2 linked regions of the Drosophila melanogaster genome follow. The gene in region 1 interacts genetically with each later gene. Each region holds a gene or a part of one and is shown on either strand. Other genes may lie near its edges. The genes, in order: rho-4 and S.

What was found.
Region 2: of rho-4 (region 1) and S, changing one enhances a phenotype caused by changing the other (phenotypic enhancement), as found in Drosophila melanogaster (one study listed by BioGRID).

The regions. Positions count from the first base shown.
Region 1 is NC_004354.4:11,592,388-11,610,719, forward strand, and holds rho-4 (rhomboid-4), read left to right. Parts: upstream 1-7,450; 5' UTR 7,451-7,699; coding exon 7,700-7,939; intron 7,940-10,855; exon of another isoform or gene 10,856-10,949; coding exon of another isoform or gene 10,950-11,492; exon of another isoform or gene 11,493-11,507; intron 11,508-11,687; exon of another isoform or gene 11,688-11,807; intron 11,808-11,924; coding exon 11,925-12,286; intron 12,287-12,348; coding exon 12,349-12,691; intron 12,692-12,750; coding exon 12,751-13,059; 3' UTR 13,060-13,901; downstream 13,902-18,332. Other genes in the region: CG2533 (uncharacterized protein), read right to left, coding at 10,950-11,492; CG2247 (uncharacterized protein), read right to left, coding at 14,396-15,568, 15,627-15,765, 15,847-16,112, 16,166-16,253, 16,316-16,920, 17,015-17,326, 17,815-18,026, 18,090-18,332.
Region 2 is NT_033779.5:1,068,262-1,083,485, forward strand, and holds the start of S (star), read right to left. Parts: upstream 9,555-15,224; 5' UTR 8,574-9,554; intron 1-8,573. Other genes in the region: ast (asteroid), read left to right, coding at 9,774-10,307, 10,364-10,804, 10,860-12,449; Atg4a (Autophagy-related 4a), read left to right, coding at 12,983-13,166, 13,317-13,659, 13,716-13,795, 13,859-14,404, 14,528-14,610.

The sequences.
Region 1 (18,332 bases):
CCGATTTCCCTCGCTTCAAACATCAAAATACTCTGTTTGGGTTTCCCGAGCGTTGATTCATTAATCTAGCCATGATATAACAACCAAAATAATATCAAGCTATAGAATATATTTTTTAAAGAAAAAAAATCAGTCTGCGGGCATCCAGTTCTCAGCGAGAACTTAGCGGCATCCAGCTAATGGAGGAGACAGTAGTGGCTTCGCCACAGCAGCCATGCCTTCGTCGTTCCGTACGTCTAGCGGGTAGGATGCGTTCGCAGAACTATAGAGCCATTCCCAAGGTTATGAATTTGCGGCGCAGCACGCGGCTGGCGGGAATCCGGGAACATGCCACCTCCGTTGTTGTGGAAAACGGGACGCGCCTTCAAAGTGCAGTCCAAAAGAAACGCACGCGAAAAGTGAAACCTGCGCCCAAGGCCTGGATGGCCAATAATACTAAATGTTTACTGGGCCATCTTAACAATGGAAACGTTAAGCAATTGCAGGAGATTCCAGGGATCGGTTCAAAGACCGCCTCTATTTTGGCCGTGCACAGGTCAGTTGACATACGTTCATTTGCGTTTTACCCAATAACCCTTAATCCTTAATCCACATTTTTCAGATCCCGCCTGGGTTGCTTCAAGAATCTAATTGAAGTCAAATCCCTGCCCATTTGGTCGGGAAATAAATGGAAACGATTTTCTCAAATTAACTGTCTTGACACTTGATACAATTACTAATTAAATAGCATTTTAATTCGAATATAGTATAGTGATTGTTATTTATGTGGCATATACTTTGATTTTACAACTATAGTAGGAGTAAAAAAAAAGGAGCCGGATATCCTTAAAGAAACAGTTATATATGTGATTTATTTTTTAAATAGGCTTACCTAGGATATATTATATAATATATTAAATTAACAAAACAAGTTGGCATTTTAAATTAAAGCACAAATTGATTGTTATAAAAGTATTAAACAAAAAAAACTAGTCAAAAAAGAAAAACTTTCAAATAAATGACTTATTAAAAGTGACCAAATAAATAATATTCATTAACTTTTTTTTTCAAATTTAACTCCCTTTCAGCGTTGCCAGATTGGGTTGCATGCGGGATTTGATTATTTTTATTCACAAATTCTGGGTAGAGGGCCACTTGTGCTGCTCCGGCAGCTGGTCACACTGTACAGTCGCGCAGTTTGGTTTCTTTGGTGCGAGAAGACGGTTGGTGTTGTTATTTTTTTTTTAGTTCGCTCCGCTGTTTTTAGGTGCTACGCGCTTTATGGCCCGCTCTTAATCTTATCGCAAATCAAATCAAACCGCGGCCAATGAGCACCGTAATTTCACTTTTTGGCTAACGGTAACGGCACTTCCGCTCTCCGAATTCGATATTCAAACAGTCGCATTCCATCGAAAAGCGAAACAAGAAGTGGCCGTAAAAATGACCGTGAAAACAGTGAATCGCCAGCAGAGCCAAACGCCCACCCAGCAACGGCAATTGCATCAGCAGCGGGACGTCGAGAATGGGCTCTATCCCACGATTTCGGACGGAATATGCCACATTATTATCGGATAGAATACAGGAAATGTAGGATTTAGGTAAGGGAATAATAAATTTCTAGTAGTTTTCAAGTCATTTTGGAGAGCACATAGTGGTTAATTCATGCACCATATTAATGCATGGGAAATTGGCGAAAAACAAACACTCAGCCGGCACTTCGCGGCACTCACACCTACACAATCATACGTGCGTGTGAATGAAGTTGCTTGTGCTTGTGGTGGTCTGCCCTGTTGCCGTCTTCTTCTCACCCTCGGTGAAAGTTGAGTTCGATGAATCATCTGAGCATCGATCCGCTATGGCGGCGATCTTCACTCTTCGCACTCACTCAACAGGGGGATTCTATCTACGAATCCATCAGTTTCGGCCGCTTCGATTCTAGTTTAGTTAGCACTCTCTTCTGGTTGATTTGGGCAGATTCATATATATATATGTATATAGGTATGTATGATCATACGATTAGCATACGAGATAAGCTGCCAATCCAATCCAAACACAAGGCGCTGGAAATCGGCATTCCATACACATTCCTACTCTCTTTTGGCTGGAAATCTTATCCGATTTCCCTCGCTTCAAACATCAAAATACTCTGTTTGGGTTTCCCGAGCGTTGATTCATTAATCTAGCCATGATATAACAACCAAAATAATATCAAGCTATAGAATATATTTTTTAAAGAAAAAAAATCAGTCTGCGGGCATCCAGTTCTCAGCGAGAACTTAGCGGCATCCAGCTAATGGAGGAGACAGTAGTGGCTTCGCCACAGCAGCCATGCCTTCGTCGTTCCGTACGTCTAGCGGGTAGGATGCGTTCGCAGAACTATAGAGCCATTCCCAAGGTTATGAATTTGCGGCGCAGCACGCGGCTGGCGGGAATCCGGGAACATGCCACCTCCGTTGTTGTGGAAAACGGGACGCGCCTTCAAAGTGCAGTCCAAAAGAAACGCACGCGAAAAGTGAAACCTGCGCCCAAGGCCTGGATGGCCAATAATACTAAATGTTTACTGGGCCATCTTAACAATGGAAACGTTAAGCAATTGCAGGAGATTCCAGGGATCGGTTCAAAGACCGCCTCTATTTTGGCCGTGCACAGGTCAGTTGACATACGTTCATTTGCGTTTTACCCAATAACCCTTAATCCTTAATCCACATTTTTCAGATCCCGCCTGGGTTGCTTCAAGAATCTAATTGAAGTCAAATCCCTGCCCATTTGGTCGGGAAATAAATGGAAACGATTTTCTCAAATTAACTGTCTTGACACTTGATACAATTACTAATTAAATAGCATTTTAATTCGAATATAGTATAGTGATTGTTATTTATGTGGCATATACTTTGATTTTACAACTATAGTAGGAGTAAAAAAAAAGGAGCCGGATATCCTTAAAGAAACAGTTATATATGTGATTTATTTTTTAAATAGGCTTACCTAGGATATATTATATAATATATTAAATTAACAAAACAAGTTGGCATTTTAAATTAAAGCACAAATTGATTGTTATAAAAGTATTAAACAAAAAAAACTAGTCAAAAAAGAAAAACTTTCAAATAAATGACTTATTAAAAGTGACCAAATAAATAATATTCATTAACTTTTTTTTTCAAATTTAACTCCCTTTCAGCGTTGCCAGATTGGGTTGCATGCGGGATTTGATTATTTTTATTCACAAATTCTGGGTAGAGGGCCACTTGTGCTGCTCCGGCAGCTGGTCACACTGTACAGTCGCGCAGTTTGGTTTCTTTGGTGCGAGAAGACGGTTGGTGTTGTTATTTTTTTTTTAGTTCGCTCCGCTGTTTTTAGGTGCTACGCGCTTTATGGCCCGCTCTTAATCTTATCGCAAATCAAATCAAACCGCGGCCAATGAGCACCGTAATTTCACTTTTTGGCTAACGGTAACGGCACTTCCGCTCTCCGAATTCGATATTCAAACAGTCGCATTCCATCGAAAAGCGAAACAAGAAGTGGCCGTAAAAATGACCGTGAAAACAGTGAATCGCCAGCAGAGCCAAACGCCCACCCAACAACGGCAATTGCATCAGCAGCGGGACGTCGAGAATGGGCTCTATCCCACGATTTCGGACGGAATATGCCACATTATTATCGGATAGAATACAGGAAATGTAGGATTTAGGTAAGGGAATAATAAATTTCTAGTAGTTTTCAAGTCATTTTGGAGAGCACATAGTGGTTAATTCATGTACCATATTAATGCATGGGAAATTGGCGAAAAACAAACACTCAGCCGGCACTTCGCGGCACTCACACCTACACAATCATACGTGCGTGTGAATGAAGTTGCTTGTGCTTGTGGTGGTCTGCCCTGTTGCCGTCTTCTTCTCACCCTCGGTGAAAGTTGAGTTCGATGAATCATCTGAGCATCGATCCGCTATGGCGGCGATCTTCACTCTTCGCACTCACTCAACAGGGGGATTCTATCTACGAATCCATCAGTTTCGGCCGCTTCGATTCTAGTTTAGTTAGCACTCTCTTCTGGTTGATTTGGGCAGATTCATATATATATATGTATATAGGTATGTATGATCATACGATTAGCATACGAGATAAGCTGCCAATCCAATCCAAACACAAGGCGCTGGAAATCGGCATTCCATACACATTCCTACTCTCTTTTGGCTGGAAATCTTATCCGATTTCCCTCGCTTCAAACATCAAAATACTCTGTTTGGGTTTCCCGAGCGTTGATTCATTAATCTAGCCATGATATAACAACCAAAATAATATCAAGCTATAGAATATATTTTTTAAAGAAAAAAAATCAGTCTGCGGGCATCCAGTTCTCAGCGAGAACTTAGCGGCATCCAGCTAATGGAGGAGACAGTAGTGGCTTCGCCACAGCAGCCATGCCTTCGTCGTTCCGTACGTCTAGCGGGTAGGATGCGTTCGCAGAACTATAGAGCCATTCCCAAGGTTATGAATTTGCGGCGCAGCACGCGGCTGGCGGGAATCCGGGAACATGCCACCTCCGTTGTTGTGGAAAACGGGACGCGCCTTCAAAGTGCAGTCCAAAAGAAACGCACGCGAAAAGTGAAACCTGCGCCCAAGGCCTGGATGGCCAATAATACTAAATGTTTACTGGGCCATCTTAACAATGGAAACGTTAAGCAATTGCAGGAGATTCCAGGGATCGGTTCAAAGACCGCCTCTATTTTGGCCTTGCACAGGTCAGTTGACATACGTTCATTTGCGTTTTACCCAATAACCCTTAATCCTTAATCCACATTTTTCAGATCCCGCCTGGGTTGCTTCAAGAATCTAATTGAAGTCAAATCCCTGCCCATTTGGTCGGGAAATAAATGGAAACGATTTTCTCAAATTAACTGTCTTGACACTTGATACAATTACTAATTAAATAGCATTTTAATTCGAATATAGTATAGTGATTGTTATTTATGTGGCATATACTTTGATTTTACAACTATAGTAGGAGTAAAAAAAAAGGAGCCGGATATCCTTAAAGAAACAGTTATATATGTGATTTATTTTTTAAATAGGCTTACCTAGGATATATTATATAATATATTAAATTAACAAAACAAGTTGGCATTTTAAATTAAAGCACAAATTGATTGTTATAAAAGTATTAAACAAAAAAAACTAGTCAAAAAAGAAAAACTTTCAAATAAATGACTTATTAAAAGTGACCAAATAAATAATATTCATTAACTTTTTTTTTCAAATTTAACTCCCTTTCAGCGTTGCCAGATTGGGTTGCATGCGGGATTTGATTATTTTTATTCACAAATTCTGGGTAGAGGGCCACTTGTGCTGCTCCGGCAGCTGGTCACACTGTACAGTCGCGCAGTTTGGTTTCTTTGGTGCGAGAAGACGGTTGGTGTTGTTATTTTTTTTTTAGTTCGCTCCGCTGTTTTTAGGTGCTACGCGCTTTATGGCCCGCTCTTAATCTTATCGCAAATCAAATCAAACCGCGGCCAATGAGCACCGTAATTTCACTTTTTGGCTAACGGTAACGGCACTTCCGCTCTCCGAATTCGATATTCAAACAGTCGCATTCCATCGAAAAGCGAAACAAGAAGTGGCCGTAAAAATGACCGTGAAAACAGTGAATCGCCAGCAGAGCCAAACGCCCACCCAGCAACGGCAATTGCATCAGCAGCGGGACGTCGAGAATGGGCTCTATCCCACGATTTCGGACGGAATATGCCACATTATTATCGGATAGAATACAGGAAATGTAGGATTTAGGTAAGGGAATAATAAATTTCTAGTAGTTTTCAAGTCATTTTGGAGAGCACATAGTGGTTAATTCATGCACCATATTAATGCATGGGAAATTGGCGAAAAACAAACACTCAGCCGGCACTTCGCGGCACTCACACCTACACAATCATACGTGCGTGTGAATGAAGTTGCTTGTGCTTGTGGTGGTCTGCCCTGTTGCCGTCTTCTTCTCACCCTCGGTGAAAGTTGAGTTCAATGAATCATCTGAGCATCGATCCGCTATGGCGGCGATCTTCACTCTTCGCACTCACTCAACAGGGGGATTCTATCTACGAATCCATCAGTTTCGGCCGCTTCGATTCTAGTTTAGTTAGCACTCTCTTCTGGTTGATTTGGGCAGATTCATATATATATATGTATATAGGTATGTATGATCATACGATTAGCATACGAGATAAGCTGCCAATCCAATCCAAACACAAGGCGCTGGAAATCGGCATTCCATACACATTCCTACTCTCTTTTGGCTGGAAATCTTATCCGATTTCCCTCGCTTCAAACATCAAAATACTCTGTTTGGGTTTCCCGAGCGTTGATTCATTAATCTAGCCATGATATAACAACCAAAATAATATCAAGCTATAGAATATATTTTTTAAAGAAAAAAAATCAGTCTGCGGGCATCCAGTTCTCAGCGAGAACTTAGCGGCATCCAGCTAATGGAGGAGACAGTAGTGGCTTCGCCACAGCAGCCATGCCTTCGTCGTTCCGTACGTCTAGCGGGTAGGATGCGTTCGCAGAACTATAGAGCCATTCCCAAGGTTATGAATTTGCGGCGCAGCACGCGGCTGGCGGGAATCCGGGAACATGCCACCTCCGTTGTTGTGGAAAACGGGACGCGCCTTCAAAGTGCAGTCCAAAAGAAACGCACGCGAAAAGTGAAACCTGCGCCCAAGGCCTGGATGGCCAATAATACTAAATGTTTACTGGGCCATCTTAACAATGGAAACGTTAAGCAATTGCAGGAGATTCCAGGGATCGGTTCAAAGACCGCCTCTATTTTGGCCGTGCACAGGTCAGTTGACATACGTTCATTTGCGTTTTACCCAATAACCCTTAATCCTTAATCCACATTTTTCAGATCCCGCCTGGGTTGCTTCAAGAATCTAATTGAAGTCAAATCCCTGCCCATTTGGTCGGGAAATAAATGGAAACGATTTTCTCAAATTAACTGTCTTGACACTTGATACAATTACTAATTAAATAGCATTTTAATTCGAATATAGTATAGTGATTGTTATTTATGTGGCATATACTTTGATTTTACAACTATAGTAGGAGTAAAAAAAAAGGAGCCGGATATCCTTAAAGAAACAGTTATATATGTGATTTATTTTTTAAATAGGCTTACCTAGGATATATTATATAATATATTAAATTAACAAAACAAGTTGGCATTTTAAATTAAAGCACAAATTGATTGTTATAAAAGTATTAAACAAAAAAAACTAGTCAAAAAAGAAAAACTTTCAAATAAATGACTTATTAAAAGTGACCAAATAAATAATATTCATTAACTTTTTTTTTCAAATTTAACTCCCTTTCAGCGTTGCCAGATTGGGTTGCATGCGGGATTTGATTATTTTTATGCACAAATTCTGGGTAGAGAGCCACTTGTGCTGCTCCGGCAGCTGGTCACACTGTACAGTCGCGCAGTTTGGTTTCTTTGGTGCGAGAAGACGGTTGGTGTTGTTATTTTTTTTTTTAGTTCGCTCCGCTGTTTTTAGGTGCTACGCGCTTTATGGCCCGCTCTTAATCTTATCGCAAATCAAATCAAACCGCGGCCAATGAGCACCGTAATTTCACTTTTTGGCTAACGGTAACGGCACTTCCGCTCTCCGAATTCGATATTCAAACAGTCGCATTCCATCGAAAAGCGAAACAAGAAGTGGCCGCAAAAATGCCCGTGAAAACAGTGAATCGCCAGCAGAGCCAAACGCCCGCCCAACAACTGCAATTGCAGCAGCAGCGGGACGTCGAGAATGGGCTCTATCCCACGATTCCGGCCGAGCGACGATCGCCCCCCTCGCGTCCGCAAACGCTGCGACAGGACACCATCGATATGGAGGAAATACCGCTCAATCAGACGAACAGCCAGGAGCCAGAGGATCGGCGCAAAATGCACGAGATATTTGACAAGGTATGTAGGACTTATAATACTCGCAATTCCCTTCCCCAGCACAAGTGGCAGCTCCTCCTAAGTATTAGATCTTTTCTGGTTTGTAGAGCCAGCTAACCAAGTAGTAGCCATGGTAACTATACCTATAAAGGTATTACTGTTCACACGGTGTTACAACTTAGCACTATATCTTTAAAGTAAATCTATGATGATTTAACGTTGATTTAATAGTTATGCCACATTATTATCGGATAGAATACAGGAAATGTAGGATTTAGGTAAGGGAATAATAAATTTCTATTAGTTTTCAAGTCATTTTGGAGAGCACATAGTGGTTAATTCATTAGTTAGAACCAGCTACGACTAATTATCCCATTTAAACTGGCTGGTGGTAGGCAACAGAAGGTTAATGCTGAGATCTTGTGAAATTGCACCATATTAATGCATGGGAAATTCGCGAAAAACAGAAGAACGACTGTAATTAAAACACACAGCCGGCACTTCGCGGCACTCACACACACACACTCATACGTGCGTGTGAATGAAGTTGCTTGTGCTTGTGTGGTCGGCCCTGTTGCCGTCTTCTTCTCACCCTCGGTGAAAGTTGAGTTCGATGAATCATCTGAGCATCGATCCGCTATGGCGGCGCTCTTCACTCTTCGCACTCTCCCAAGAAAACCCCACCTTTAACCCTTCAATGGGCCGGCGGGCGAAAACCGACACGATCAGATGCTTTTGTTTGCAAACATGCCAGTGGAACAAACTTAAGGTATACATTATTAAAAAAAAACCTTGTATCTTGTGGTGATTAATAAATACGTGAGATTTGATTCCCGTTTAACATTAATGGGTTAAGAATTCGATTATAGTGCCTAAATAATCAACTGCTATATGTACTTATATCATACAAGCATAATTACACTTTTCGGTGTATTTAACCCATCACCGCTTGTCTGTCAGTCAATTTTGCACTTTCGCAGAATTCCGTATCACATTTTATAAGCTTTTTTTCGCTGCAGTTTGTTTTCTTAAAGTAGAAAAATCGTGTGTGCTGCAAAAAAAAATGGGGGGGAGGGTGGTTGCCTACTGTTGGGGGACTGAGTTTTCTTATCGTGACAGAGGGTTGGGGGAAAAAGACCAGCAAAAAAAGAAGAAGAAAAACCGGTTATAAATTATTGTTTGTTCGCTTTGAGTTCTGCCTTTGTTGTTGTTGTTGCTCTTGCTTTATTCTTGGTGGCGTTAGTCACTTAACCCCCAACTGACACCCACCGCCCACCTGTTTGCCCGAGTGTTACCATTATCAATTTAACAATTTGTGGATTTCGTCTTTTTTAATTCTACCAGTGCGATTGCCTCAACGTGCAACGTCCTCTTGATTCACCATTTGTTTATAGCCATATAGAGTGTGTAGCGTTCATATCGCGTTCAATGTACCCCGGCAACAAGGGGATTCTATCTACGAATCCATCAGTTTTGGCCGCTTCGATTCCAGTTTAGTTAGCACTCTCTCCTGGTTGATTTGGACAGATACGTATATATGTATGTATATAGGTATTCTAACCATACGATTAGCATACAAGATGAGCTGCCAATCCAATCCAAACACATTCGATGCCGCTGGAAATCGGCATTCCAGACACATTCCTATTCTCTTTTGGCTGGAAATCTTATCTGAATTCCCTCGCTACAAACATTCAAGTGGCCAAAATACTCTGCTTGGGTTTTCCGAGCGTTGATTCAATAATCTAGCCATGATATAACAACCAAAATAATAGCAAGCTATAGAACATATTTTGTCAAAAAAAAAAAAATCACCAATCTCAACCAACATTATTCGTTGGAAAGTTCAACTTGAACCCGGAGGGGACTGTATCATTTTGATATTTTTGAAATATCATGTTTGATATGTCACAGATAACAGTCTTTCTGATATGGGAAAATAGCAGATAGATGACCATTTTCGTTGATATTTTTATTCATTGAGCTGTGCAAAAGAGTAAATCTTAAGTTGTCTGTTGGCTAATATAGGAAAGTTTTGGAACTTCAGGTGTTCCAATGGTTTTACAATTAACTTTTTCCGAAAACCATATTTTTTACAAACTGACCAAGTGGCTTTCGTGTGTTCCGAACACACTTGACGACTATGACTAAGTCCCAATCCCCGCGAGACTCCGTTACCGCTGGCAGCTTATCGCCTGGTTTTGATAATAACCAACTTTTTGGTTTTGTTTTTTCCCCCTGTTCTGTTTTATTTTAAGAACACCTAAAGGTGTAAAATATTAGTTTACGACTGGAAAGGAGGATACATATTTATGTGCATGTACATACATGGGCACCTATCTAATTGTCTATAGTATATGCCAATGTCTTTCCTCTTTTTTTTTGCGTGAATCTAACTTTTAAGTGCGAGCGTTGACTTTTCGCTGGGTTTTCTTTGTTATCCCAGTTCCTAGTTATTTACTTTACTAAATACCTTAACCATACTTAAAAGGTCAGTGCGCATAGCTTACCTATGACAAATGTTTTTTATGATCGAAAACCGAGAATACAAAGCGATAAGACAGTAACATCCATATAGGGACTTTCTATTGGCGAAATGGCAATTGAGAATTTCGAACTTCTGAAAGGAATAGGTGACAAATGTTTTTTTTTTAGCAAAATCCTTTTGTATTTACCAATGGGGATTATTGACGTTTTGCAAAAACCATCAGTTGCGTTTAGTTCACAATAACTTTGGATGCCTTTGTGCAACTTCATGTGACTTTGTTTCGATTTGTTTTCGATTAGCCCCGTTTTGGATTTCTAGTTTCTCGTCTCGATCTGTGGCATTTATTCCTGCCCATTTATGGCCACTTTTTGGTCCGACAGCGTTCGCGGCTGTGTTGCAAGTGCTGATGGTGATGCAATCAAAAAGGAGGAAAATCACTCAACAAACATAATAATATGTGGGTACTTGTTTATTTGTGAACTCATGCTGCAGGTTTGAGTGTGTTACGCTATGATTTAGAATAGTTCCTCGGGTGAATGAGATTCATTCGGAGTCTAAGGGAAGGTCAAAGAAAGTGGAATTTTGGCTCTTGGGGGCGAGGCAACTGGTGGCCTGCTCCTCCTCTGGCGCATCCACAGCATCGTGCCAATCCTGGGAATCGTGCTCCTCCTGCTCCTTCTGATCCGTTAGCTGGAGCAGACGCATCCGCAAGCGCTGCTCTTCCAGTTGAATGACTGAAGGCCTAGGAGCAGCCACTTCGCGAATAAGCGATGGCATGGCGGTCGTCCAGTTTGGCAGCAGAGTTAACCCCGTTGCCCTGCCCTGCCGCTCCAGACGCTGCAACTGGCGGCGCTCCATGGCCATCAGTTCCCGCTTGGCCCGGGCCCGCACCTGGTCGTCGCTGGTCGTGGTGCAGAGACTCAGGGCCGCAAAGATGCCGGCCATGCCCAGGTAGAGAACCAGTACGGTCACAATGCCGGACGATTCCTGCAGCGGCTCCTCCTCCTCCGCGACGTCGCATGTGGGCGTCGGTGTCCAGCCAAGCCAAGAGGTCACGTGGCGGGTCATCTCCATCAGTTGCGACATCGTTCTCGGTTGAATCTTGAGGCGAAGATACAAATATATATAATATATGTATGGTTTATACTAAATAATTATGTCATTAACCGATGACACCAAGCAAATGGTAGTTTCTTTACTTCCTTCTAGGGAAATGTATTCAGTAGTTTATTTTTATTACAGCCTAGTTTTAAAAGGTAGGATGAATGCGCTGATATGTACCCAATTGTAATCGGTGTTTCCAAGATGTTGTATTTCAAGATTTTTTGGATTCGGTGCGGGCCTGCCCGACCACTCGGAATTTCAGCTAGGTACTGAGTGTTCGAATCCCTAATGTTTTCGAACCCCCATGACGCTTTAGTATATGGCCTACTGTGTTTAAATGTTGACTTACCCAGATTCTATGTGTGAGCTTAATCATGATGACTAACCAACCATATGTATATGCCTCTCACACAGCACGACTCTGACAGAGATGGGCTGATCAACACGCACGAGCTGAAGGAACTGATCTCGGATGGCTATTGCCGGGACATTCCCGCCTACATCGCCGACCAGATCCTGAAGCGCAGCGATCAGGATAACGACGGCCACCTGGACTTCGAGGAATTCTATGCGATGTCCCTGCGCCACAAGTGGATGGTGCGCAACATGCTGACCCGCTACTGTCGCTACGTTGTGCCGCCACCGAAGCCCTTAGAGGGCGATGAGCCCGACGGTGCCTACGAGAAGCAAATGTCCATCTGCCCGCCGCCGCTCACCATGGTGCTCTTCTCGATTATCGAGATAATCATGTTCCTCGTGGACGTCATACATTTCCAGTGAGTAGTGATGGTACAATTGGTTGTATATGATAATAACACTAGTAATCTGCTATGTTCAGGGACGATCCCAACTACCAGGATCGCATAGGCGAGAGCACAAGTGGACCAGCGGCCACCCTGTTCATCTACAATCCGTACAAGCGCTATGAGGGATGGCGCTTTGTTAGCTACATGTTCGTTCACGTGGGCATCATGCATCTGATGATGAACCTGATTATCCAGATCTTTCTGGGCATCGCCCTGGAGCTGGTGCATCACTGGTGGCGCGTGGGTCTGGTCTACCTGGCTGGCGTGTTAGCCGGTTCCATGGGCACCTCGCTAACCAGTCCTCGCATCTTTCTAGCGGGCGCATCGGGTGGAGTATACGCACTGATCACAGCCCACATTGCCACGATAATTATGGTAAGTCTTTGTTATACTATTTGATATTATTCCATAATTACCTTATGGTCGCCAAACAGAACTACTCGGAAATGGAGTACGCCATTGTCCAGCTGCTGGCCTTTCTGGTCTTCTGCTTCACCGACTTGGGTACCTCGGTGTACCGCCACTTGACCGACCAGCACGATCAGATTGGCTATGTGGCGCATTTGTCCGGTGCCGTCGCCGGTTTGCTGGTGGGGATCGGTGTGCTGCGCAATTTGGAGGTGCGGCGATGGGAGCGCATTCTCTGGTGGGTCGCCGTCATCGTTTACTTTGCCCTCATGACCACTGGCATCATCATACACGTGTTTGTTCCCGACTACTTCCCAAAACAGGAGTACAACTAGCCCCATCACTAGCTCTAGCCCTAGCCCTAACCCTTAACCATGTCCAAAGTGCACTTCGATATTGAGCCGAGGTTGCAGTACGCACAGTACTATATATAGGATTTCTTCTGACCATGTGCCTATGCCAGCTGCAAAAATAATTTATTTTTTTACAACTTGCCATGTCAGCTTCATTCCCAATCCGAAAGTGGTGCAAGCATGTCGTACGTATTTTTATATATTTATATACATACATACATATATAGTAACGTAATTATGCCTTCCTCATAATTCTCTTATACAAAAGACCGACCGCGGTGGTCCGCCGTATCGATTCCTTGTTACTCGATATTGCGCATCCACTTAAGCCGTAACCAAAACCCAGACACTAGGCAGGCACATACATAGCCACGTAGCACATAAGAATTCTTTTTCATATGTATGCACAAAAGCATAAGCAAGAAGCGCTCTCGCGCAGATCAAGTAAACAACCCACTAACCAAGTACATTTAAGATTTTCTCACACCATTTGTTTCAGTCTTAAGCTGATATTCAATCAATAAAAACGCAAAGCGAATTCATTCGAAGTTTTTATTCATTTCGGTTCAAATACGGATCATTTATTCGACTCAAAAGCAAAAATTATTTTACTATATGTATTCTCGATCCACATGACGCGACGCGGCGCAACGAAATGTCGACGGAGAACAAAACTCAGAGCTGCATTTGTATTACACATTTCGTTGACATTTTTTTTTTTTCAAGAAAAACGAGAAATATCTTTAAACAAAGTGTACTGTATATTTTTGGAGATTTATTATTAAGATCTTATATATTTAAATGTAATAAAAACAATGTCTTTGTACGAAGAAGATGGGTGTTTTGCGTATGATTTTTATTTTTTTAATTGTGTCATTCATGTTCAAATGTAATGAGTACAACTTTGATCTTGCCTTCGTAGGACCAGCAAGACCAGGCAGAACTACTTACACGCAATCTTACATAAGTACTATATTTTTATAGTGAAATTTATAGTTCACTTCCCAAAACAGTGGTTTAAGTCGATTTAGTATGATCCAGCAATTAACCCATTTATTTATTATGTTTACATGTTTTTCTTTTCTGTTCATTACAAGCTGTCAATTTGTAAGCAGCGTCGCTTGATTGCATCGTTCACAGCTTGGGACAAAGTAATGTACTGAATGTCGTTCAAAGATATTGTTGAGAGTGTGTTTAAATGTGGTGTTCGGAGGTGATGCTTCTCGAGAAGACTCAGTCTTGGCATTCTCTGCTACTGGGAGGGCTTATATATGAGCTAACTTATGGCACCTAGGAATAACTAGTGCGTTAAACGTTCTTACTTGTTTTTCAACTGTGGCCGTTTGAGGAAGGTAACCATGGTGCTGTTGAACATGTTCACCTTAACAAACGTAACAAATGTTGTTGGTGCCACATCGCGCAGTATCATCAGCAAGCGCTTGGCGGGCAGAAAGGTAACGCATTCCGTGTGGTCCGTTTCAATGCAACGGTCATCGGGAGCACAATAATTAAGGTCATCGTCCAGCGGAATTCCCGGTACAGGGCGCTCCACGGGGATCACATCCTTCTTACTTCCCCTGTACAGCTCACCCGTTGCACTCAACAGCTGGGTAACCAATCCTAGGCGGAACACGCGAAGCTGCGAGGCATTCTCGCGAACGGCCCGCATTACGGAATAGATCACGTTGGCCGAATTTTGAAGACACTTTGGGACGAGCAACAGGTGCGTAACAGTGGTGCACATTCCAATCAACGAAGTTAGAAGGTCATCCACCTCGACGTTCACCAGCTCCAGTTGCTGTACCGAACAAGCAGCGGCTACACCACACATAATGTGGTACAGCGGAAAAGTGGTATTGATCATGTGCTTGTTCTCCAAGCGGAGCCTGCGTAGAGACGTTAAAAAGGGCAGCACTTGCTGGCCAAATTCCTCGGTATCCATGCCCTGGCATGAAGACAACACTAGCACCTTCAGGTTAACTAGTTTCTTCAAGAAGCGGAAGTCCTGCGAGCCTATATAATTCACTCCACGTATATTCAACTCAGTTAGATGCACCAGGTCGCCCAGAGAGTCTAGTGATTCCACTTTGCTTCTGTGGTCCGTCATTAAGATTTGAAGCACGCGAATCTTAGACCATTGTCGTGCCAAATTTAAAAAATTAAAAGTTGGACTGTAGCAGATTGCCCTTAGCTCCAGCAGTTGGGGCAATTCACGAAAGACCTTAAAGAGGAACTGGTCATCTACTGGACAAGTGCGAAGAACACGCAATGCTTTCAGGACGCTAATGTCGAGTGTAGCGAGAATATCCGGAGGATTCGGCAATATCACGCCCAGCATGTCCAGTTCGCGTGTGCAATTATTTGCGAGTTCACGGATAAATCGCGGCCAGTTGCTGATATGGGTATCGCGTAGCATGACTGTGCGCCATACACTCTTATCCTGACTGATCATGGCCCATGTTTTGCAAACCTGCGCCATATTTACACGATCCTATATGGGATGGGATGGGATTACGAACTTCAATTTTACGATGACCTAGACATTTTACCTTCATCGTCATGATTTTCATAACGGCCATCACTATCTGGCATCCGATGTGACAATCGCCCAGGCTCTGCACCAAACTGGAGCTACATTTGTCCTTTGAGATCTTTTTAAGGCCAGCCAAATTCTGCCGGTTTGGAATCCTGATAAGTTGAGGAAAAACATATAAATAACTGTGCGTTTCGTAGGTTTTTTGCGTTGGTCTTGGAACTAAACCGACTCACACTTTCAGATTGCAACCAATCGGATCGGCTATGATGGCTATAGCCTTGCGCCCTCCAATTACAACAACCTCTTGTTCCTTTATAACGGTCTGCTTATTCACGTTTTCTAACTGCTTTTTCTCCGCCTGTTGAACGGATATTTCATTTTCCAAAGTGACTTCTATCATGCTGAAGTCACTGTCATCGTCATCATCATAATGATCCTCATTTCCTCCAGTCTTTTTCATCCATTTCTTATTGGCATATCCCTTCTCATAGATACACTTCTGAAAGAGGATATTATAAGCCAGTGAATCTCCAATAGCATTTCGTAAATTACCTTGCACAACTTAGGTCCAGACGGATGAACAGAAGCCGCGCAGCGCACACAAGGCTTTGACTTATCAGGGGCTGCCTTTGCGTGAGCTCTGGACATGAAAATACCGAGTATATAGAGATTGATATGTGTATATATATACAATATATCTACCTGCGCCTGCGAATGTTGGTATTACCAATCGGTGAACCGCACGAGCTGCTGTTGGTGTAGTCTGCCCGAGAATTCCCCTTAACCGCCCTGGTCGAGGTCCAGCCCTCACTCGGTGGACTTGCCCCTTTGGGCACCTTGGGCTTCGACACTCGCTTTCCAGTGACCGTTAAGGCAGGCGTCTGGGGCATTACGTTGGACGGGTTGGCCAACCCAGCCTTGCCTTTCACCACCGCCCCTTGCTTCGCCACCGTTTTGCACTTCACAACCGCCACATGTTCCATCTCCGCCACCTTTGGGACCGGGCTACCATTGCTGCGAGGCCTGGGATTTTCGGAGCTGGGTATAAAGAGATCTCGCTCTACGCCAGTTTGCTTTAGGCGTTCGAAAATAACTTTCAAAGAGGTTTCGGTGGATGTTTCTTTCATTATGTTCGTCTCATCGGTCAGAGGCGTATGGCTACTGAAGCGCACTGAACGACGCGAATGCTCCGGAGGCGAATGGGTGGACATAGAACGTTTTACGATGCGAGCGTCCTTAAGTGATTTGTGCAAGGTATGATCAGCTTCCGCCTGCTTCTTGGTGGTATCCTCTTTTTTATCTTCAACCTATGGGGGAAGATACAAGAGGGAGAGAAGATCAATGGTTAGTAAATCTGTGAAATTTCCGACTCTTAGCATAAGATTTTTTAAGGGTCTCCACCTGGTTGTATAAGTCTGATGGTTGCATGTTGGTTGGTGTTGTACTGGACTTGGATGTTGTTGCAATACCAGTTGCATTTGGACTTTTTTTTGCGTTCAAAGGGCTTTTAATGGCTGCATCCAATTCCCCCTGGGAGGCGTCGAGTGGCGACGTCATTATCGGCGTTGTTAGAGACGGCTGCTGCTGCTGCTCCTCAGACTTATTAGTGATATGAGCCGGCTTTGTTGTACCTGCCGCTGTCTCCTCTTGTGGTTCCACTCTCGGAAAAACCTTTAGGCCACTCCATGGCAGTACACCTGGCTTGGCCGTCGACTATTGCCGTAGTGTGCATGTTGTGTATTGTTTGGTTGAGATTTGAGATAAGCACAGATACGATTTCGTGTTGAGAAATACAATAATATAGAACAAACAAAACGATGTCCGCACAACATAGACCTCTGTATACCAGTTACCAAGTTTGATTGGAAAAATAGTCAAAAAACAGTTTATGGGGATCTAATAACCTTAAGTTCTTTCGATTTATGCAAATTTCCGTCCCAAGATTATTTACAATATTTTTATGTTTACATAAGTTTACTTTACAGGTAAAAGTAATTTGAGTATAAGTTTTAAAATAAACTTATACTCAAATTATATTGATTAATTATGTGTATTTGTGAATAAATACCGACCGAAAGGGATATTCAAATTAGCCCATTTGTGGATTGAACATGAGTATACAGAGGTATGTTCTATAAGCTTGAACAGACAGCAGCAGGCCAGCTCGTGTCCTGGACAGCATCGCCATCCCCTCTACTCACCAGCGGTTCTTTATCCGAGTTGCTTTCGATGTTGGATATGGGTGTTAGCTTTGGGAATTCTCCAGTCCATCCCATTAGACCTAAATCGCACGGTTCAAGATCGTCACGATGCGTGCTGGGCTCACGATGACGTTCACGTTGACGGCCACGGCGTCTGCGGCGTTCAAATTGACTCTTGTCATTTAATGTCTTTGAAGTCTTAATCATAGTACCTAAGTGGGTTTAGATGAGATGTGTTATTATGCTACAGATGCTGGTTATTTATTTATGCTTACTTTTTTTTCCCTGCTCAGTGTTCGAGTCTTTAAAGCTAGAGCCATCCCGGTGAGTCGAAAGATCCACGTTTGTGGAATTGGCATTTAACACCAGCAAGTCGCCCTCAATAATGTTTTGTCCCACGCCGGCACTCTGTTCACCAATGGAACCTTGTTCATCTATAGCACCGCCTGTGCTACTTTGATTGGCGCCGGAACTAGGTCCTGCAGCTGTAGATGATTCGAATGCGGAATCAACGTTAC
Region 2 (15,224 bases), on another chromosome or scaffold:
ATCTACACATGCATGACGAATGCGTAGAACGCCGGAGAACGGCGATCGAGGCAGAGAGCCTGGCATAATAATTCACTTAATCAGGCTTGAGCGGATTTACCAACTCGGCACATTTATCACGGTGAAAGACACCGAAAAGAAGGCAGCAAAATTGGCCCAGACCAGACCAGACCAGCAGATAGTGGACAAATTGCTGCTGATAAGCGGCAGCATAAGCAGGCAACAGGAAAATCGGGGAGAGATGTCTAAGTGGATGCGGGTCCGTTTAGGCAGGTGAAAAATGAAAATTGAGATTATGTTTAAAAGAAATCCTCGCCTCGCCTCGTCCTCACTCCATTAGTTTCCCAACCACCAGGAAAAGTGCACTCCATCTCAAACACATGTCGCTCTTATTTTTCTTTTTGGGCAAAACGGAAGAAGTCTTTGGCATGCATGAATGGGCAGAAAAACAAGAAGAATGGATAAAATGTGGAAAAGCAAGAAAACTCAAGTGGAAAATTTTCACTAGGATGCGTGGTCGAGAGATGAGAGAGATCCGAAAGGCAGGGTTTTGTGTGTTTGCATGTGCATTTCGGTTTCTGTTTTTGTTTGCAACACGTTCACTGCATGCCATGTTGCCTGACTTCACATTCAAATGGCATGACATTTCACATTTGTGGATGGAAATTCCGATTTTAAATGGAATTGCTCAAATTGCAGCCTAAGCTTGGCTCAAAAAATAATAGATAATGCAGGGATTTACCAGGAAGTAGCGCCCGTCATATAATGAGCATCTTTTTAACATGACCAAGAAAAGAAGGCAGCTGCTCAAGTATATGAAAACAGCACACTATTGAATATAAAATTTTGAAGATTTTGATTACATATATGTATGCTTACAACAGTCGCATGGTTATATCCACTGATTCAATCCAGCGATTCTTAAAACCTCCCTTAACTTTTCGCTCGCCATTTTCCCTGCGAAATGAAAGTTCCTTCCATCGATTGCATAAATCGCAAAAGCGCCAGGAAACCGAAGCCGGCACACAAATGGTAATAAATGTCAGTCAAAGTGCAGGGAATGGGCCAGAGGAGAGCCCAAGGATCAGGGAGCAGCACAAAGAAGTCGCAATCGAAGTCGCTTCGTGTCAATAAATCGAAATGTAAACTCAATTTACAAAATTGAAATTGAAGCGGGCCGCACGCAGAGGGTTAAACGCAATGCGATTCCAACAGGGAGCGGCGCACCTGCGCATGTTGTCCTGGTGCTGGTCCTGGGTCTGGACTTTGGACGGGTTCATCCTCTTCCCTGGCTGAGCAAAAATCAAAACAGCTCGAGGGGGAAACGAGTTAAGAATAAGCCAAAGGTACAGTGATTCCTGCTCCACTATCTTTAAGATTTATCAATTTGATTGTAAAGGCGCATTAAATGGTTTAAAATATGTCCAAAATATCATTGGTAACTTTATTTAAATTATTATTTGAAGCAAGATTCAAATTCAGTATCACCACTGTGCCGCCAAAAACGAGGTGTGTGACCTTTTTCCGCGCTTTTGGCGTTGCTGTAACTCGACTTTTCTTCGTCTTTTTCAGTTTTTTAGGTTGACGTGTGCGAAGCATTAAGTAAAAGCATCAACAACAAAGCGACTATGAAATTCGCATAAAAGTCTGGGAAAAGTAAAACGGTTTACGTGCGGATTACAAAAGAGCGATGGCTGGGCGGACGGGAAGCGAAGCTAAATAAGCCGGGCAAAATCAAATAAAACAAAACTCCATTTTCGCAACCCGCTCGTAATCCATATACATAAAGTAATATACTACTTGTGTAGTGGGAAATCGGCAGGGGCACGTGCGTTCAAGGCGTTCAACTTTGGTCAAGCGACGGAGTGGGTTGGCGGTAATTAGTGGAGCCAATGACAGGTGCCTCGGGCGGTGTCTGCCACCGGGTGGCACCTTAATTCGCCAAAAATGATGGATTTGCCTTATCAATGTTTGGCTCGTGTGTGAGACGTAGCAGGATAATGGTTGATGTGGGTCCGAGCCTGTGGCGCATTGAACCCAGACGATGGGGCGTGCACAGAAGGGAGGAACTGGGTTCCGCGGAAGGGGCACTGGAGCGGAGTGTAGCCAAGCGGTGCATGTGCAGCGGCTTGTTGCAGGCGGCAGCAGGAAGCCAACAAATTACGGCCGAGCCACTCATCATCAGGTGGTGCGACACGTCGACTGATTGAGTGCACAGAAAAAAAAAGAAAATAACATATTTCAAATATTTTAAGATAACAATAAAATTTATTTGCCTTTTCTGATTGAACAACTTGTATTGCAACCTCGTATGCAACCTATTGCATTAACCTCGTATCTTTAACTTTACAAATCCCTCGATATTATTCTCAGTGCACTAGCGAGCAGAACAAGAACTAAGAGACGAGTTAGCTTCGGTTGGCGGTAATTTAGTTCAACTGCCAGCCATGACACATTTTTACGGGCCTTTCTGGAGCGAAACTGACTGGCTGCATAATTGAAATTGAAGTTGAGGCAGCAAAATGGCGACGACTCTTTTAATTGAACTTAAACTGTACTAACGGCACATTTCCCAGCCTAAAACACTTTTCCAACTAACTTTGGGCACATTTAAATGTCGTTTGTGCCGCGTCATTGTCGTATTTATGTGATTGGAGGCGAGTTCTGTTCGGTTATCTTGCCTGGAACTTGATTTTGGGGGCCCCTCCCCAACTCTTAAGAAGTTGTTAAAGTTTTACCACCGCCAACCGAGAAGAGCGGGGAAAGAAGAGTATAATAACAACCATGACAAAACTGGGAAAACTTTGAAACTGTCTTCGCGAACAGTGGCTTCTGTACATTTCAATCTAGGGGGTGTTCCTCCATCTCCAGCGGGAGTACAAAACTTCGAACTGTGAAAATAGCAGTGCATTTTGTTTATCTTACCCCTGATCTTACCCCACCGCCTACGCCACTGTTCCCAGCTTTTATTTTCGTTGTGCTGAAGACTTCTTCCGACTTTATTTCGCCCGGTATCCGTATCATTTCCTACACAACACACCTTCGCCATCCATCCATCCAACCAACCATCCATCTCTGGTTCTTCTTGGTTATTTTTTCCGTTTTCTGTTTTGTTTTTGTTTTTGTTTTGGCAGCCACAACTTCTTTGGCTTTGCCATTGAGCGAAAGACAGAAGAAACAGCCTTTGCTGTGTTGTGGTCTAGAAAAAACTTGTAACCACAAAAGTTTGTATTTCAAAGCAACCACACTGTGATTCTTCTTCGTCCACCTCTTGCTCTTCGTCTTCCTCTTCTTCTGCCTCTTGGTCGCTTTATTTGTTGTTGTTTTGGGGACGGCGACACTTGGATATCTCTTTTTTTGGTCGGATTTCTGTATCTGTGCGGTTCATTGTTATAATTATGGGAATTATTATTGTGGTTTTCACTCGGCTTTACCTTTTTCAAAGAGGGAACTGAGAACTGAGAAATGAGAACTGGTTTTTTAAAGCCCCGAGAATAACCAGCACTTTGATGTAATCGATAAGAAAAGTGTCTGGGAATCCTAAGGCTGTACTGTCTGCTTTTATCTCTTTACCCCAAAATGCCGAGACAATTCCAGAAGTCGGGCAGAGATGCTCATCAGCAAATTGCGAATTAATTTGTGTATAGCCCATTGAAATTAGTTGTTTATTGAAGGCGGCGAAGATCCCGGCCAGAAGTTGTTTACACCTCGCGGAGGATGAAGAGCCAAAATAGATGGAAATGGTTTGTGTTATAAGCCCCCACAACAGGTAACGCTGATAGATCGGGGCAATGCTAAACACAAATCAAAGCTAATATTCTTTATGGACTTCTCGGAAACAATCTTATCGCGACTAACGAGTTGGGCCAACAAGCCAAGTGCTGCAGTTGCAAGATTGTGGCTTGTGGATAGCAGTGCCCGTAGATACAGGGCTCACAACTCCAGTTCCCACACTTCATAAAGTTCGCTAAGTGAATCATTAAACAAATTACAAATTAGTACGCCAGTTATAAATAGCGGCAGAATAATACGCAAGTAAATAGCCCGATCTATGGGGTACATAGGGCTAGGCTAGGGGTATGTTTGTACGCATAACAAGGGGCACCGAAACCGAAGCACCTACAAAGTAGGTAAACACGCTGTATATGTCCATCAATGTTGTGTAAATATTGGCGCAGTGAGTTAGTGTAGGTGGCTATGAAAAGCTGCACCACCCACAGGCATTCGGTCGGGATCCACGTCCATGTAGTTGGGACCCCTCGGCGATCGCCGGGTTAGTCAGCTGTTTGCGCTGGATAACGATATGATGAGTGGGATCTATTCCGCTGAATGTGGATTCCGCAGGTTAATAATGCCAGCTCAGCTCTATTTTAGGGGAGAATTTTATAAATATTTCATAGAATGCGTAAGGTTTGTAAGAAGTTTCGGCATTGATCATTTTCCATTTACCAGATGCCAGACCTTAAGTTCTGGAAATTTTCCAGGTCGATGATGAAAAGCATTACGAGCCGTTAATCGTACTAAGAATCACTTAATCCATAAAGCAATTTTGCCACTAAAATTTAATGAGGTAAAATCCCTTCAAAAAGATTCACTGATTATCATTAACTATATTATCACCTGACGTCACAGACCACAAGACCACCAACCGCAAAAAGGCGAAAAAGTAGACCGCATTCGATCTTAAGTTCATAACACCATTCCCATTCATTATTTCATTCATGAATGTGGCTCGATTTATTTCGAATTGGCTGCATTGGCGTAGGCAAATCAAAACAATGCTCCGAATACCTTTGTAAAGCAGATCGATGCGATCCATTAACAGGGCTATTTGTATAAATTTATTGCATTTATGGAAATTGTTTAGCGAAAAGTGAATTTTCCAATGAAACTGGCCAAACAGAAGACAGACAAGTAAATAAATGCCAAACGGATTTCGCTCAGACACATTGTGTCGCTATAGACGCAGCTATAGAGAGGCCAATAGATGATCTTGGCAATGATATATGGGCTATATATGTATGTAGATATGTATGTATGGGCACCTCTCCCTCCAACTGAATGCTCGAAATTATTAATTGAGAAAATGTGTAGAACAGTCGGCACATATGTATGTACATACATATGTACTTGCGCATCCGAGGTATTCGGGAGCAAATTTCACAACTCGAGAAAAGAAAAGATAATGACTCAACTCAATCCGAGCTGCCTACTTTCAATATTTTGTGTTGACGCCAGCGAGAAATTTAGCCCACAAATAGCATCCAATTGACAACAGTAAAACATGGCCAAATATGTACCAAGCCGGCCAATGACGTAAGCGCCCCACGGTAGCTGCATAAATGGCAAAAACTAGCGAACACAAGAGGCAAAAGCGTTGCATCGAATGCGGATTACCCTCGACACTGATATGACTGATGTGTTTGCAATGACTGATGTTTCCAAATGATGATACAATGAATATGAGTGATTACTTCTTTGGAACTGTAATTATCAATTTAAGCAGCTTTCAAGACTTTTAATGAGGTTTATAGCCATAATTGTAAATAACCACAGAAAACCATTTGCAATTATTGTTGAGTCTGACAAAACGAAGCAACCCACTGTAGGGTATCCAAAGCCGTTGCAAAATGAACATGGGTCTTGATTTATTAGCAACAGACAAGGACGGACATAGAGTCGCGAAATTACAACGTAAGACGATGGCGCACTCGCACCCACATACACGTGATAAAAAAAACCGTATTCATTCACAGAACAGTGAAATTGGGTGTCATTTTGGGATCGATTCAGATTTCAGATATCTGCTGGTGTGGATGAATCAATTAAATGGCAAAAGAGCGAGCCAACTTGGTTGACCAAACTTGGACAAAAGGAGTGGCCAGCTAACGGATATGAAAGAATGGGCCGAAAGCGAATTTAGTCATCTAGTTGTGCATGAATCAATCACAGATTGTGCCATTCATTCACTTCGAGCCTCACTCACACATGTCACTCACAACTTCGAGCTCCGTTTTTTGCCCATTGAGTGGGAGATCGATGCAAAATTGCCACTGCACTGCTCACTCCTCTGCGATTCGTACTACTGGCCTATTAGTTTCTTTTCGCTCCTACTCTCCCCCTCTCGCTCGCTCCCAATTGCACGTGTTGGGACCGCTGCAGCAAAACAACAACAAAGGAATCGACGCCGACAGCGGATTTTGTTGGATTTTATTTTTGGGTCTTGGGGCTTCTCCGCTTTTTATATTCTTCTTTATGTCTTTCCGATTTTGGAGGTAGCTCGCCATGTGAAAGGAAATAATTACTTTATTTGTTGATTCTGTGTGTGTGTGTGTGTATGCGTACAGTAGGGCTCGGAATAATAGAGTAGTTACAAATATTGCTGTTATCTAAAAATACAGTTGGTCAGAATATTTTGTATTTTTCAGTTGCGAATAAACACAGTACATTATCATTTGATCCTATGAAAACTACATTTCGTTAAGATCCTACTATATATTTTTGTACGAAACAGTCCTACTTTTTTGGCCGCCTCTGTTTCGCCTATTATGAATGTGCGAGCAAGATTGTTGTTATGGCCCCGTGTTGCCTTTCGGTTGATTTGGCTGCCTCTTTTCCTCTGTTGCCAGCTGGGCTGCATTTCAAACCATTTGGAAATTCGAAATTGTTTGCAAGCTTTTATTGGCCAATGCTGCTGCTTTTTCTTCTTCTTATTATTATTGGCCCCCGCCCCCGCGCTTTTCTAAACAATAATTAACAGTAAATGAAAGCGGGCAGGAAACGCGAGAGGCCTGTGGAGGCTTGTAGGTCAAGAAGCATTAGATGGGCAAAGGTATAGGCCATTAGCCATTATTTCCTAGTCGCTGTTATTATTCTGGCCACTGTTGCAATGGCTCCATCTAACGGTGCCTTCTTGCCTGCCGCATAATGACGCCTAATTGGCCAGGCAGAGATCAGGAATCTCAGAAATCAGAGATCGCCAATTGAGAAAGTGAGATCAGTGACAAATTACGCGGGCAATTTAAGCGCAGCTTTAAGCGGGCACATCCGCTTTGCACATACGCGCAGTGCAGAACATTAGACAAATTTGCACATTTAATCAAAGACAATTGTTTAATTGGTCAATTGCGGCAAGTAACTGGAGTACCAGCCGGGAAATGGGAACGGGGCAAGTGCGAAAAACAAGATAGTGCAGGATGAGACTCCTACACGCAGCACATGTGACATTAGAAACAGTTCTAACAAATATCTTAATTGCTATCAAATTTTATGCCGCCAGAAAACCTCGATTCCACTCAGTTTCAGTTGGGTTAGAGGCAACACAACTGGGGGAAGTTCGAGACCGCTCTTTATCGGGCCTCTCTATTTACGTTTCCAGAGTGGGACGGCAATAGCCGTGGCAAGACAATCATCAAGTGCGACTCTTGCTGGTGTTTTCGCTGTGGCCCCTGCACTTCCTACTAGGAAATTCCCCAGAACTCGGAATTATATGCAGCAGCAGCGCTGGCAAGTGTCATTTGAGACCAAGCACAAAGAGACACACAGCAGCTGCTCCCCAGTGGACTTGTGTGTGTGCCGGAGAGTGGATTTTATTTGAAATTCAAACTCTTTTTATGGTGCCCACTGATTACAGGGTATGCGAGGGTAGTATGCACTTGTGTAAGGAAGTGAGCAATGCTGTTCTAAGGATTGAGACTAACCAAATCTCGCTTTGGAATATTTCCTTTTCAGAAATGCCCTACAAACAGTTTATTAAGAGGTATCAACTGGTCGAACCGCTATGAACTTCACTTCCTCCCCGGATTACCAGTAAAAATCGTTAAAATCGCAGTCGCAACAGCTGTAGGAAAACTATAAACCACATTGGGAAATGCGTTTGGGATGGGGTGAATATGGATGGCTACGCCTTTTGCGGCTCTCTAAGCCCTGGGATGAACTTTTGTGCTCGATTTCCAGTTGCCAAAAAGCGCCGGAAATTGCTGGCAACTGTCGGTGGTCGCCAGATCGTCGGCATATATGCAATGTCTGCAGCAAAGCCCCCTTTTTCATATGGAAAATGAACCTGATTCTCGAGCACAGCGGCGAAAATTACATAATCGCCGGGCAAATGGGAGCACAGTCATATCGAAATTGTGCCAAATTGCAACTGCAGATGATAATAACGATAATTTATTTCTCCCCCAGTGAGATGTTTCTATTATACGAGCAATTTTCTGGAATCAGCGGGTGCCTAATTTCGCCCGATTTTCTCTGTTTCAGCAGCCAGGGAAAACATTTCAATTCTTCTATTTTTTCTGGTTTTTTCGGCCCACCAACAGAGGTTTTCTCTAGTTTATCGGCTTTCCCGAGGGTTTTTCCTCTTTCCGCTACCTGCGAATACCTGCCCCGAAAAAAAGAGGCGTGGGAATCGCCGAACATACAGGAGGTGCAGAGTTGGGAAATCGGAAAAAATTGCAATTGCAGGACGTGTGAAAATGTGCGGAAGACAGGAAACGTGGGCCAAGACCACTCGCAGATTTCCCGGAACGGCCTTGGCCAATGGGAAAGGGATTTTTCCCTGATTTTGAACTCACCTTTTTCGGCAAAGAGGGAAGTTATATATGTTTCGTATCCGTAAAACGAAGCTCCCAAGACACCAGAAGAACTCTGCACACACGCACTTGCTTTTGAACCGTCTTTTTTTTTCAACTCTAGGACGAATTATCGCACGGTTGATTTACGTTTTTTGCTGGTTTGGCTTAACAATTTCCTTTTGGAACATTTATTTGCACACAATTATTTATTAAATGCCGCACACACACACACAGGTGATTGGTGATCGATGATGGGCCGTGTGTGGTTGTGTTGTTTACGTACGTGTGTGTGTGCGTAGAGCACGCCTCGCACACACTGACAAAAATTCATTCACGACACGGTGATCACGATCGTCGCTCTCGCTCGCTCACTCATGGTGTTTTTGTGTGGAAAATCCAAGAGAAAAATAATACTATGTGAAGCGCAGACGAAAGACGCACAAAGCTGAGTTATTAACGTGTGTTATTGTTGTTGTTGTTTCTCGTTGCTACTGGATGTTTTCTGCTGCTGTCGCCTTGTATTTACTTAATTTCATATGCATATTTCGCCCATGGTTTTCTTTTTTCCGCTGCTTTTCCTTCTACCTGTGCTTTAGTTAAACGAACACACAAAAACAACACACACGCACGCACACCACACTCCGCGCACACACACACGCACGCACGAAACGAGAGACGCAAAGGTAAAGTGGTAAAGTGTGTGCAAGAAAAGCGACAAGAAACGGAACGGAACCAACGGAACCCGTATATATGCACGCGCTCTTCGATTCAATGGCGATTTCGGTTTCCACTGCACTCGCTGTGTTTGTGCTAGTACATTTCCCAGTTTCCTTTAGATTTTCGGTACAAGTGTTGCTATTGCTGGCGAATTTTTCTCCTGGCCACCGCGTAGCACTCGCGACGTTACGATTTTTCGACGTTTGATGCGCGGGTGGAGAGCAGACAAGCGTCGGGTTGGAATTGTCGGGACAGAGTGTGACCGCGGCGCCATCCCCGGAATATACCATCCGGCTGCGGGAAATACCCTAGATACCAAACTAATCGCTCATATATACCAAACGGCAGCGAACGGCCACGCTAAAGAATCGATATGTACATCGATAGTATCGCACTGCAAACTGACATCACTATTAGCACGCTTTTAAAGTTTGTGCAAAATAGGTAAATAGAAAATTGGGAAAATAGGCAAGCGCCGGGAAAATGGGAGTCCGCGGCCTGACCAGTTACATAGCGCAGCGCGCGGAGATCTACCTTAAGCCGCACGAGCTGCACTCCACGGCGCTGGTCATCGATGGCGACAACTTGAGCTGCAATCTGTACAAGGATGTCACCGGGAGCTACTCCGCCTTCGGCGGCGACTACGACGACTTCTACCGCGCCGTGGTGCAGTTCTTCCAGGTTCTGGCCGAGTGCAACATTCGGCCCTATGTGCTCATGGACGGCGGGTACGAGGAGCGCAAGCTGAGGACCGTTAGCACCCGGCTGCGCAACAAGATTTCCGTGATCAAGAAGATAAACCCCAATGCATCCATCACGCTGTTCCCGCTGCACCTCAAGGAGGTTTTCGTGGACGCTGTGCGCGACTGCGGAGTCCCGGTGATGAGGTGCGTCTTTGAGGCGGACGACGAGTTGGCTGCTCTGGCCAGGAAACTTAACTGCCCAGTGCTCTCCTACGACTCGGATTTCTACATCCACAACGTCAAGTACATCCCGCTGATCACGCTGACTGTTAAGGTAAGGCATAAGTTATTTGGATTCCAGCATATACTAAGCGATTCCATGTACCCCAGGTTCTCACCAAGCAGGTGAAGGACAAGAACAGCAGCAACCAGAAGGACAGTCGAGATCTACGTCACTGCGAGGCCAAGAATGTGAAGAAGCGCACCAGGGCCAACAAGATTGTGACTGGCATTCAAACCACAGGGCTGACAGCCAGTACAAAAGGCAGTTCCAAGACCTACAAGTACCTCGACTGCTGCATCTACCGGGTGTCCCATCTCTGCGGACGAGGAACTCTGAGTCCCGAGAAGCTACCCCTTTTTGCCGCCCTCCTGGGCAATGACTATATTGCCCGCAGTGCCTTCAAGAACTTTTTTGCTGCGGGAATGGGCAAAGCAGGACGAAGTCGCAAACTAAAGCTCCAGCAGAAGCGCATACAGGTCATCCTCACATGGCTGAAGGAGGAAACGGCGGAATCTGCTCTGGCTAAAGTGCTGTCGAGACTGAAAAAGGTTCGTTGCTTGAGATATCTTTTTCCGATTTATGCTAAAAATAATATTCTTGCAGAACCAGCGTGATTCCCTGGTCTCCCAAGTGAATGCAGCCATCTCTGGTTACTCCAACGAGTTGTGCCACGCCTACGATTACTTCGATGAGCACTACGAGAATGCTTTTCCTTATATAGAACCCGTCAGTGAAGAGGAATGCAGCGACGATGAACATTCGTCTAGCTCCGATGAAAAATTTTCAGATGTCGAAGAAGGCGAGGATCAGGAGGAAGCTGATAACCAAGATGAGGAGCAGCAGGAAGAAAATCAAGACGTTGATTCGGGTGATGAAGAAGAAGAGGAGGCGGATGAAGGCCTCGAGCTGGAAGTGGAAGACAAAACGCTACTCTTCCCACAATGGTTTCTGGACAAACTATATCCCGCGCACCTGCCCCGCAGCTTCGTGGACCTTATGCACCTGCGCAAGTACATCAACAACCCACAGATCGAGCACTTTCCCTTCCACGACTCCAATGAAGTGGCCTTACCCATCCTGAACTACGTGTTCGCTCTTCTCCATCACGTAGAGTGTGAGAAAATTGAGCTACCATTAGAAGTGGATATGGATATAGAGGGTTCGACAGTCCCCTATCTCACCTACCTCACCAGAGCTCTGCGAGTGACGAACGTGAGGTATTTCAAGATGCCCATTGAAAAGAAGCCTGCCTATCCGTTTGATCCTCTTTCGCCGGATGCTAGGCATTTAAGAGCTGTATTCGAAGACAATGCTCCCAATGCGGATACGGAGAAGTTGTTCAGCAAGCTCGACCAGTTGCCGGAGGACCTGAGGCTGTACTTTCTGGCCATTATCTACTGGTTACATCGCTCGGAGCACTGTGATTTGCTGCATCTTCACTCGCTGATCCTTAGTTTGGTTGTCCTACGAACCATAGATGTTACAATCCCTGCTGAACGAGAGGTGAAAACCTTCCTTAAAAGATTTGGCAAGACATTGAAAGCAGAGCGAGCAGTGAGGGATAAGGAAGCTGCCGAGGGAATTAAGCGCGGCATCAAACCTGCTCTGCTAGAGCTTTCTGTTCCAGATCGGATGGCTCATGTACCCAAATCGGACTGCTATTTAACTCAGGAACGCCTACTGCCGCACTTCCATATGCAGGAGATCTTCAAAAAGAAGTTTGACTTGTACTCCACCACGGTTATCCACGCATTTGCTGAATTTCAGGCTGTGGTTTACCAACTCAATGGGCTAAATTCTCTTTTGGATTTTCCACTTTTGAGTCCGAGGATGAACCAGCTTTATTGCGGCGCCTTTCTCTACAACATGTATGATGTACTGAGGAATCGTGCCGATGTCCGCTACCATGTTGAGAACTTCCTGCTGCCCGACTCCAAGTTGATGTTCGATTTCTATTGCTACTTGTACGACTGGTGCGCGGAGTTTATACCAACTTGGAAGCGATTGGAGGTGGATCCGACGGCGGCAAAGGCCCTGCAGAAGAAGCGATTGAAGAAGCAGCGTCAGGCGGCTAGGAAAGTGGAGCTAAGGGAGGCCATCGCGGATCCCAATGCGGAAATGGTCGAGGATGCCGATCCAGAAAACGACTTCTTCGATCTGAACAACAAATTCTGCGCACTCAAGGTAGCGTAGCTAGTTTGAAGTCCCGCACGTGCAATTTTGAAGTTTTTACATTGTTACAAATCTATACTTTGCGTAAAATAAGAAAAAAATTAAATATTTTTTAAAAAACTTCATTTTTGAATGCATTTCATTAACAGTTTGGAAAAATACTGTTATTTCCTATGTTATGGTCATGTTAAGTGCAAGGTTCGGTATTTTGGCAAAGTAAAATACCTTATCAGTTGCGGTCATACTAACAGCTACGTCACTGCGTTGTAATCAACAAAAAAGAAAAATAAATCAAACTAAACCAGCCGCAGACTGATCAAATGCTGGTTATCGCATAGTTTGTAATCAGCGCCCGTCACTGCCAACAACAAATGAAACCCCTGTGACCTCGGGCCAGAAGCAGGAGCATTGCCGTTGCTGCCAGCGAAAACACAGGCCAAAACAAAGGCCCACCCGAAAAACAGAACGTCATTCGAAGGCAATTATCGTATAGACGAGCAGCGGAGGCCCTGGTGTCCACCCCCTTCTCCTTCTGCCAGCGCACCGGGCAGTAGATGCTGGTTGGACTCAGCGACCAGCTAGCGCGGATCATGGAGAGCGTCTTCGAGGCGTACTTGGGCCCAGACAGCGTCCTCGCTAGTGCAGTTGGCCAGGCGGTGGGCAGCGGAGAGCCGGAGGACATTCCCCGAAGAAACACCGACGTCTGGGTCCTGGGAAAGAAGTACAACGCCATACAGGGTAAGATGAGACCTTATTTAATGCTGTCATATGGGTACAAATCTAGCATATTGGTCAGCATGAGTCATAAGGGGTTTCCCAAACCTTTTTTCGATTATCATCGATGGATACCAAACTGAAATCCATAATCAACACCCTATCCCTTTTCAGAGCTAGAGCTCATCCGACGGGACATTCAGTCGCGCCTGTGGTGCACATATCGCCATGGATTTTCGCCGTTGGGAGAAGTCCAGCTCACCACGGACAAGGGCTGGGGCTGCATGCTGCGCTGTGGTCAGATGGTTCTCGCCCAGGCCCTGATCGACTTACATTTGGGACGCGACTGGTTCTGGACGCCGGACTGCCGTGATGCCACCTACCTCAAGATCGTGAACCGTTTTGAAGACGTAAGGAATAGCTTCTACTCCATACACCAGATTGCCCAGATGGGAGAGTCCCAGAACAAAGCGGTCGGCGAGTGGCTGGGACCGAATACAGTAGCCCAGATTCTCAAGTAAGACCATTGGCCTAACATGGTGGATAAGTGGTATAATCAATTGCTGATTTCAGAAAACTAGTGCGCTTCGATGACTGGAGCTCCCTGGCGATTCACGTGGCCATGGATAGCACAGTGGTATTGGATGACGTATGTAAGTGTGGAAAATGGCCTAAATAGCCCGACTATTTGCCTAACAACATTGTCCACTTTGTAGATGCGTCGTGCCGAGAAGGAGGCTCGTGGAAGCCACTGCTGCTCATAATCCCCCTGCGCCTGGGCATCACAGACATTAACCCGCTTTACGTGCCTGCCTTAAAGCGCTGCCTTGAACTAGACAGCAGTTGTGGCATGATCGGAGGTCGACCAAACCAGGCTCTGTACTTCCTGGGCTATGTGGACGATGAGGTTCTCTACCTAGATCCTCATACCACGCAGAGAACGGGCGCCGTGGCACAGAAAACTGCTGCGGCAGAACAGGACTACGACGAGACCTACCATCAAAAGCATGCTGCTCGCCTGAACTTCTCCGCCATGGACCCCTCGCTGGCGGTTTGTTTCCTCTGCAAGACCAGTGATAGTTTCGAGTCCCTGTTAACCAAGTTGAAGGAGGAGGTGCTCAGCCTCTGCTCGCCTGCGCTCTTCGAGATCAGTCAAACCCGCGCGGTCGATTGGGACACCACGGAGGACATCGACTGGCCCACCATGCCGGACATCGATTGGCCTGCGGGCACCTCGGATTCGGACTCTTTTGCCATAGTTGGTAAGTTGGTTCTGTTGAAGCTGACCATTAAGACCATTATTTATAACTTCACAGCTTGTAATCTGAATCAACAGTCCGAAATTTCACTCCGATTTCACTCAATAAATTCACTCCATTTTCCAGAAGAGAGCGGCAGGGACAGCGACGCCGGCTGTAGCGGCGCCATTGGCAGCGGCAAAAAGCCCAGTGAGAGAGCCGTCATTTGAGAGGTCGCCGGCGGAGCGCCTGCGCCTGCGCCGCACCAGAGCAGATGAAGCCCAGCCAGGCGAAAGTGGAGCACCCAATGAGGAGAAAGAGAGTGGGCCGGGAGGTCGAGCCCCTGCGGATGCTGCGAATGCAATAAACTAAGGCTAAAGTGCATAATTAGACGAGTGGTTGAGATTTAGATTTTAGTATGTTTACGATTTGTACGAATGCGGTTCTTAGCGATTCATAATGCTGCTTTATTGTACGCGATTGACTCCACGGGAGACAATTTGGCAAAACACACACACACAGAGCGACACTTACGGACACATACCGCTTTTTGATGATCAATTAAACATTTTTATGCAACGTTGTACATTGAAGACTCGATGAGATCGAGGCAATCGCCTTAGCCCGGTGTGTATTTATATGTTTGTAATCGTAATATTCATTTTCCTTTCGTATATTCGTCTGTATATGCTCAAAAATGGACCAACAACTAAATACATAATACTTGGACTATATGTATATATCTATATATGTATATATATATGTATGTATGTATATATCAACTTTGCCATCCGCCTCTGGACTCAACGGCTGGACAAACTCAAGCTACACGAACCAAGGAACT